Arabidopsis thaliana: one gene and its partner. The protein of the gene in region 1 interacts with the protein of each later gene in a pairwise test. Each region holds a gene or a part of one and is shown on either strand. Other genes may lie near its edges. The genes, in order: AT4G10470 and AT2G25730.

What was found.
Region 2: the proteins of AT4G10470 (region 1) and AT2G25730 interact in a two-hybrid assay, tested with the Arabidopsis thaliana proteins (one large-scale study listed by BioGRID).

What each region holds. Positions count from the first base shown.
Region 1 is NC_003075.7:6,474,074-6,478,494, forward strand, and holds AT4G10470 (uncharacterized protein), read left to right. Parts: upstream 1-1,910; 5' UTR 1,911-2,035; coding exon 2,036-2,231; intron 2,232-2,378; coding exon 2,379-3,214; intron 3,215-3,301; coding exon 3,302-3,436; 3' UTR 3,437-3,460; intron 3,461-3,563; 3' UTR 3,564-3,810; downstream 3,811-4,421. Other genes in the region: AT4G10465 (Heavy metal transport/detoxification superfamily protein), read left to right, coding at 571-646, 742-1,064; AT4G10480 (Nascent polypeptide-associated complex (NAC), alpha subunit family protein), read right to left, coding at 4,016-4,366.
Region 2 is NC_003071.7:10,969,831-10,974,661, reverse strand, and holds the start of AT2G25730 (zinc finger FYVE domain protein), read left to right. Parts: upstream 1-1,710; 5' UTR 1,711-1,932; coding exon 1,933-2,759; intron 2,760-2,913; coding exon 2,914-3,058; intron 3,059-3,468; coding exon 3,469-3,747; intron 3,748-3,880; coding exon 3,881-4,048; intron 4,049-4,143; coding exon 4,144-4,353; intron 4,354-4,831.

The DNA of each region.
Region 1 (4,421 bases):
CTTAAACACAAGCCGCACTTGATGTAAAACAGTTTTTTTCCGAATAATTTTACATAATATTCAAAAAACAAAAGAATAAGAAGATTAGCAAAACAAACGAAATTCTTTTGATAAACGAATCATTGATGGACTATACCATTAATAGTCAAGCTTTCCAATTAATGACATTTGAAAAGCTGATATTTGCAGAACCGATTGGTTTATATTTTATTTTTTTTGAATTTAGTGTTAAGTTATATTCAAAGAAAAAATAAACGTTTATACATGTGAATGCAAAATTTTCTTAGCATATAGAATAAAGTTTTATATCCTTGGTGTTATATCGATGCGAACCACACTTGGAATCCTTCCACATATTTCTCTACCTTCCCTTTTACACTAGCCATGATTAAATTATCTCGATTTAAATGTCAATTCCTACACAATCATCTAGTTTTCAAAGTGCTAATAATTTACTAATGATCATTTTGATAATAGTATATACCATACTACTTTTTTTATTTATATCCAAAGTTCTCATAAGAAAACTAAAGTTTTTGAGTTTGACATTCGTGGCTCGTGGACTACTAGACGGTTGAGCTGAAGGTAAGAATGTGTTGTACTGGTTGCGTCAGGATCGTTAGGAACGCGATCTCCAAACTCCGAGGTAACAACTAATTGCTTTGCTTTAAAATTTAAAGACAAGATTAGTGTAATGAACGAAAAAAGAGACTAGATGTAATGAATTTGATTAAATTTTAGGAGTTGACTCAGTGGAGGTGGATAAAGAGTTAGGAAGAGTGAGAGTGGTGGGTTATGTTGACAGAAACAAAGTACTCAAAGCCGTGAGGCGAGCGGGGAAGAGAGCTGAGTTTTCGCCATACCCTGAACCTCCACTTTACTTCACATCTACTCAAAACTATTTCGTAGATCCTTCGAAAGAGTTTAAAGAGAGCTATAACTATTATAGACATGGCTACAATGGTACAGAACAACATGGTAATATCCCCGTAGGTTCTCGTGGAGACGACAGGGTTAGTAATATGTTCAATGACGATAACGTTAATGCATGCCGTCTCATGTAAACTACATACGTAATGACTTAAAACTTGTGGAGAAGTAAACTGTAATTATTATCATATTGTACTAGTAATACTATAAAAGAATAAGAGAAGTCCAGTGTTCCCTACTTGTATTAGAAACGTCATTTTATAGTGGTTAAATGTCATATTGCTTATATTTATCTTTAATTCACTTTTGCAAATGTCATTTCATGGTTGTTGTTTTTCAGTTTTTAATATGTTTTTTTTTGTGCAACACTAATATGTTTTTGTTCTATATATCGTTTTCGATGTGTAATGAGTTTGATCTCCATTTAAGTTAATTATTTATTTGTATTTTCTGAATTTTTAGTTCCCTCAAATGTGTTTTGCAATAATATTATGTAAGATATGAAATTTTTGGTCTCTCATGAAACATTTTATGAAGACTTTCAATTTTAATTTTGAGTACAATATCTTTTTAAAGTAAAACGTTTTCGGGTTAGTCTAATTATTGAATCAATTTTCTTGAAAGAAAGTAAGTAAGTCATCAGCTTGATAGAAATTATTTGTATTGACTTAAAGATGTTTAATTAGTTTATTTTTATCATTGGTGACCGATCATTATCTTTATACTATTTTATTCGGTTATAGTAAAAAATAAATAATCACTTCATTATTATTGTAATATTGTTAAACTTAATATTTTAGTTTGAACAAAAAGAAATGATTTTATATTTTTGTTAAATATGGTATAATTAGTTTTACTTTTATAAAACTACATAAGTTACATTAAATAAATTATAATCAATCAAGCAATGGTCGAATCCGGTTGAACCGAAATGTAGTCCGGTTTACTGTCGGAGTTTGGTTTAGAAAACATTGGTAATCACTAATCACAGATAGCACAGTGAAAAGGGTAGGACAAGGTTGATGAAGCTCGTCGTCTCTGCAAAATCCCTTCCCTTCTTTCTTTCTATCCACAAACAAAATTTCGAATCCATAGAGAAGAAAACATGAAGCAATGTGATCGTAGTAGTCTATCTCCTTTTCCTATAAGTTCTTCTTCCTTATCTTCTTCTTTCGTTGCTTCTGAATCTGATCCTGAAGATTCTTTATGGAGTGATTTCACTTTCGATTTCTCATTCTTAACATCCGAAGACCACAAGATTAGTCCCAATGATGATAATGATGCGACCACTGTTCCTAAAGGTTTTTTTTTTTTTTTGTCTTTCTTGAAATGTTATGGTTTTGTTCTTGTTATGTGTTGTGTAAGAGTTTCTTGAATCCCTTAGGAGAGAATTTACTGTAATGTGCTCTTCTATGACACTTGTGAATGATTTATTTGGACTTGTGTAGGGAAAGAATTGAATCCTTTGGCACCTCAGTTTCTACCATTCAATGCTAAGAAGAACCTAAACAAGAATGGGAGAGAAATTGAAGTAAACAGTTCCAACCAAAACACTAGAATAGGCGTCCTGATCCATGATGCAGATGAGAGTTTGGGTTTAGTATCTCAAGATAGTGTTTCCAACACTATGAGTATGTTAGATATTAGCAACGAGTTCCAAAAGTCTAAAAAGCTGGATCCGTTAGCTCCTGTTTTTGTTCCTGCTTGTGCAAAACTAAGTGAGAAGCACGGTGCAGCAGATCACATGTTAACTATGGAGACAAATGTTGGCTCAACTTCTGGTGTAAGTTCTTCAGACAGTATGTTGCTTAATACTTTTAAGGTTGTTGGGACACATTCTTTAGTGGTCGACCGCAGTTTAAGGAATAGATACTCTAATACAAGATTGGATAGGTCCAGCAACAAGTCTCATGGTCGGAAGAAGCTAAATCCTCTGGCTCCTCGGTTCTCACTAGCAGATCATAAACAAAATGTATATGGCTGTGAGGTAAACCAAGCTGCAAATGACTTTGGTGATAGACATGGCTGTTCCACATCATCACCATCTCAAAAAGTGGATGTTAAGAAACTACTTACGACGATTCATGGATTGTCAGAGTTGCTAACACATGTACACAGTTCAGAAACTTCGGATTTACCAAATGAGCAGTATCTTGATCTCATCAACTGTACTGTGCAGAATCTCAACTCCTATATCAATAACAGAGTTCAGGAGCATAGTGGGGATTATGCAAGTGCTGTACATAGTTCATGTGATTTATATTCGTTGCCTAATATGCGTAAGGTATGTTCTCTTGACTACTTTTAAGGATCATCGAAGCATTCTTGTTCGGTTTTAAAGCCTGTAGACCATCGTTATCACAATGTGCAGGTTATAAGAAATCATCATCAAACAGAAGAGCAAATCAACCCAGAGGTGTGTTTTTATAAAAGCTTATGGCTCAAGGCTAAGGCAGAGAGATCGTTGATGGAACATGAAACATTTCTTTCAAAAGCAAGATCTTGAGCAATTAGTGAAGAGTTATATAAGGTGACATCAGATCATCCTAACTTTTTTACTTCATAGCAACAATGTCAAAGATTGATTTCTCTTTCTATGAGGTCCTATTGAGCGTTTGCTTTCGATTTTGCAGGTTAGCGTGTAGAAATTCAAGCGGCTGAATCGAGGCGGTGTTACTAGCTAGAGAAGTTTTGCTAGCAAATGTATGTGTAGGTCGAAAAGAGGGACACTCATGTCAATTCTAGACAAAGACTTGAATCTGTATTTTGTGTTGTAGAAACTTGAAATACTTTATACACAAATCTAGCTTTGTTTCTTGAACCAAATTTGTATTTTGAAGCTACATTTCAATGAATATATGTAAAGAGATTACTCATCAATCTTTCTTGCTAAAGAGTTAACAACACTAGACATAAACGTCTCAAATTATAGATGTGAAGCAACATTGTTTATGGCTCAGAGAAAGGTAAAAAGAAATAGCCTCAAAAAAGTGGAGAAACAGAGATGTTCGAGAAAATTGCTAACCGAATCAGAAATGAAGCAACAAAGACGAACCATCACAAGTCTTTTGCAACTCACTAAAACCTATGTAGTGAGTTCCATAATGGCGGAAACAATATCTCCGTTACTCTCTTTAAGAGCCTTAACAGCCTTGGGCCTCGAGACACCGGCTTGAGTCATCACAAGATCAATGTCCTTGGCTTCAACACCAGTCTCATCAACATCTTCATCGTCTTCCTCCTCTTGTGCAACCGTGGCTGCTTCAGAACCATCAGTGTTGGGGATCATAGACGCAACGTCAGGCATCTTGAACCTCTGAGCAGCTTGTGCTTGTAGCTGAGAGCTCATGTCATCAATCTTAGCCTCACCGAATATCACATAGGTCTCAGAGTTCGGACTCTTGAACACATCCGGCTTCGAGATGACAAACAACACCTAAATGATACAATAACATACAGAATCAAACATCGCTACACAATAATGGAATACA
Region 2 (4,831 bases), on another chromosome or scaffold:
TTGGTTTTGTTTTTCACCTTTTGGTTTAAGAGTTTTGTTTTTCATTATTCCTTTGATTGAATAATGAATTGCATTGTTCCTTTGTATTGATGAGTACGTAGTGGAATATTTTTATTATAGGTCAATTGATGAATTTATATTAATGATCAAAATGTCATTACAAACAATACGGAAGACTAAACCAACCAAAGAAAAGTTACAACAACAAAGCTAGTAAAAACAGACACAAGGGAAAACATTTTATAAAGAACTATTAGACAAATCTAAGCGAAACAAACCATAAATTAGAAACAGAGAATTAAAAACAAAAGCTAAAAGTTGTTCCAGATTATTATTCCACACCCCTTTCTTAACCTGCAATTACCAAATGTAGGATCCTAAAACTTCTTGACGAAGGTTAATAGAGTGATACTACTTTTTCTTGGGAGATTTCAGAGTATCTTATTTCTTTACATCGTGAACCTTTTGTTTTTTTCTAGCTATCTATGTTATTCATGATGGAATTTGAGCTTTGATGATTCACCAATCATCAAAGTACCGTGGGACTTACCGAAGTGATATCATCTTCAGTACTTGGACTTACATTAGAGCCTATTGATGCACGTCTTCTCCATGAAGATGACTGTGGAAATGAGCCTCCAAAGTTTAGGTTCGTATTGATAACATCACATAATAACGTAAGTAGAAGAATTCGCATAAAAAAAAGTAGAAGAATAAAAAAATTCGCATACTGAAATTCGTAAAATAAAAAATCGCATTATAAATTCAGCAATTATATACTCATTTATTTTGTGTTTTGATGTTTCGGTAAACATTATGCATATTTTCTTAATTGGTAAAACTTTTGCATATTCGCATAATCTATCAACAATGGTTTTTCGATTCAACATCCTCCACATCATCTTCTCTTTCTTCCACATCATTTCCTCTCTCTTCCACATAATAATTCAATACCCACTCAAATTTTATACTCTACAATGGTTTGTTTAATAAAATTCAACACCCTACCCCACAAATTTTTTTTTCATTATTTTTCTTTTCTTTTATGTTTTAAATGGATAATTAATAGAATTTTGGGTGTTAAATGAGTTATTGTTGGGATGTTTTCTTTTATGTTTTATCGGCTAATGGATTTTTTTTAGTGAAAATAGATGTAATTTTTTCTGTGTCCAAATAAAATGAAACAAGTCTCTATTTATAAAGTTTGGAAAATGATGAATTTTAGTATAAAAATAATTTAAAACAAATAAATATTTTATAAGATAATTGATCTCCAATAATTCAGAGGAAAATAAAATATAAGAAATTTCAGTAGCAAATAAAAGAACAACACATGTCCTATCTTTATTTAACTCTCCCCCACAATTTCTGTCTCCAATTATTTAATGACAAGTGGCAATGAAGGATCCATTTTTAAAGATTCAACATTGTTGAATAGATTCAACACTATTTAATCCACATAGGATTCATTTCTTTATTCAATACCCCATTGTAATCATTCAACTATTGAATAAATTTTTTCAATAAGCCATTGTAGATAGTCTAAGAAAACATTATTCCGCCATTATACATGTAAACCTACTGGAACCTTAATTGCTTTTGTTTTTTTTTTTTGTCTAAAATCTTAATTGTTTTTCACACTTTTTTTGTCAGCAAAGACAAAAAATAAAATAAAAAGCAAAACCATTGGTTAACAAGTCAGAACCGAAACGAATTTAATCAATCGGGTTAACCCATTTGCTTCCCTGTCCCAGCCTTAATGGTCTGCTCTGCTCGTCTCAGCTAAGTTGACGATTCCAGACCAAAAATTCTTCACAAAAAATATCTGAAAAATCCAGCCAAGATATTTCAGATTGTACGGAAAATTTCAGAGCAAATAATTTTCAGATTAATCGGTATGTATTAGCTCAGTGATCGGAATTTGTGACGGCGATGGATAAAGAGACGGAGATTCTCTCCCGTCTCGCGGCGAACCACCTTCATCTGGCTCAATTCGAGCCATTGAAGGCTACGTTACTCGCTCTCAGGGTTCGTAACCCTGACCTCGCACTCACCATTCTCCAAACCATCGTCTCCAACGCTGGAAGATTCGATAATGTCCTCTGGTCACGCTCTTGTCCTTCCCCGTCTCTTCTCTCGTTCCTCTCCACGATTGAGCTTCTGAGATTCGAAAATCCTACTTCTCCTTGGGGATTTGATTCAGAAACTCTAAGTTTGCGTGCCGATTTCTTGTTGATGGTTCAGGTTTTGATCGATAGAGTTACAGAGAGGATTAAGGAAGATGAGGAGAGTGAGGATGAAAATTCTGGATTAGGGAATTGTTTAAGGGTGTTGCAAGGTGTTTTGGAGTTAGGTGTTGAGAGGTTGAAGTTTGTTGTTGATACTAGTAGTAGTGAAGGAAGTAATAAGATTGAGGAAGATGCAGTTGTGTCTTTGAGGAGTATAGTATTGGATTACTCTGATGTTTTCGATGCTTTATGTTGTAATATTCAGAGGCAACTTGCGGGTTGCGAGAGTTACGGTACATGTTTGGTTGAGGAAGTTCAGGGAGAAGAACAGAGAAAGGAGATGAATGAGGCCACATGTATTGGTTCTCCGGAGCTGGATAACATCAATGTGTTTGCTTTGATACAGAGGAATGTTCAGTTAGCACAGTTGGATGCTATGAAAACAAAGTTGGATGAAGGTGATGAGCGCGGGGCAGCTGATCGCATTCGTTATCTTCACCTTGATTATGGAGTAGAGAAAGAGAACTATCAGTAAGTGCTTGATTTATATACATTCCGCAAATACATGAGTTTATTCCGTTCTATTTCCTGCTTCAATTTGTCTTCCTGTTCCTTAGCATTTGTTTCTTGCATATTTAAGAATAGAGAACTTACTTCAATTATTCTGTTTTCTTATTTATGATAGTGCTGTTCTAAAAGCTCTCCTTTCAAGAGTTATGGAGAAAAAGGATGAATATGGTGATTCCTGGCACATGGTGCGCCAGAACTTGCTGTTTATGTATAAAGAAGCTCTCTCATCGAATTGTGGAGATCTTGTTCAGATGATCCAGGTTGGTAATTTTTTTATAAAAGCTGATATAATGGATCGTTCTCATTAAAAACAAGGTTTCACATGTAAGATACAACTATTTTTGGTACATATTGCTGAACTGAGAAAAGAACAAGTGGTTTACGGAACCTGCTAATATGTAAATGTAGTATAGCTTATATTTGTTGCGATTAAGAACTTAGAACCGTTTTGTCAATCTTGATTATACTGGAATTTGAAGCTGGTATAGCCAGTTGGCATTTTTCTTCTATATACTTTGTGAATATTTACACTGGTGATAGTTGAGTTCAGTGGTTGGTCTGAGTTGATGGGTTTGCTTATATGTGGATATTGAAATATGTGTATGTGTGGCTTTGAGTAAGTTATCTTGTACTATAAGCTGTTATCTGATTACAACGTTTTCCTCGGCAGGGTATTCAAGATGATATGCTCCTCCCACATAGCCAACTACATTTATCTCTCGACAATGAACAAATTCCACTCCCTCTTGAATGTTTCCGGCGATATCTTGTAGACTTGAAAACTGAGAGAAATATAGAGGACAAAAGTTCTCCTATGAGCAGGGCAATTAATTCTTGTCTCAGAGATATGTATCATTATGCTCGTATTTCTGGATCACATGTTCTTGAGTGTGTGATGTGTGCTGCTTTGTCTTCTGTAAAGAAAGAGAAGCTTCAGGAGGCTAATGATGTAGGTGGAATAGAATAAAGTTACATATCTTCGTACTCATTATCTTACTGCAGTATTGTTGATTGGCTGCTACCCCATTTGACTTCCCTTTTTCTATTGGGATCTGAATCCCTCTTCTGCTCATATGTTTCAGGTTCTTACTTTGTTTCCCCGACTTCGCCCTTTAGTAGCCTCCATGGGTTGGGATCTATTGCCGGGCAAAACTGCAACCCGTAGAAAATTGATGCGGCTACTTTGGACTAGTGACTCGCAAGCACTTCGGCTAGAAGAATCTTCTCTTTATGGAAACCAGACAGATGAAGTAACTTTTTTTTTCCTTCACATAAACTACTATTTGGATCTATTATTTTTAGAAGATGACAGTGAAAGTCTAACAGGACACAATGATCTGGGCAGAAATCTTGTGTGGAACACCTCTGCGATACGTTATGTTATCAGCTGGAACTTGCATCTTTCGCTGCTTGTGTCAATTCTGGTAAATCATGGACTCCAAAGGCATCTTTCTTGATGCATGGTAATGTGTCATCCGCGCATGATGATGCGGAGGTGGATCCTTTTGTTGAAAATCTTGTATTGGAAAGGCTTTCAGCGCAAAGTCCACTTCGGGTAGGACATTCTTAAACATCCTTTCTACATAGACTAATCCCCCACAGGAAAAGTGTTCTGGAAGAATATGTACAAATAAATTTCTCTAAGCTATAATTAAATTTAGTATTGTCAGTGGAAAATTTCATTATATATCATGTTGGCTAGATATATTTGCTTACATTAGGAATGTTGTCTTCCTAGGGAATACGTATAGTTAAATAAGAAGAGGAATAGATAACACGAGGATATTGTAGCATATGTTACTATGGTTTATCAGGAGTACTAATCAACAATAAGAGTACAGTGGGATTTTAAGTCAATTTTGGATAAATATATATATATTTTTTTTGGGTTAAAAGATATCTGTTTCGTTTATCACATTGTTATAGTTAGCAAGTTTCCTTGGATCATATAAAATGAATTTTTGATAGCTTCTGGTATTCTAGGTGTCCTGAGCTCTTGGAGGAATGAAAGAATATACATCTTTTTTCCTGAA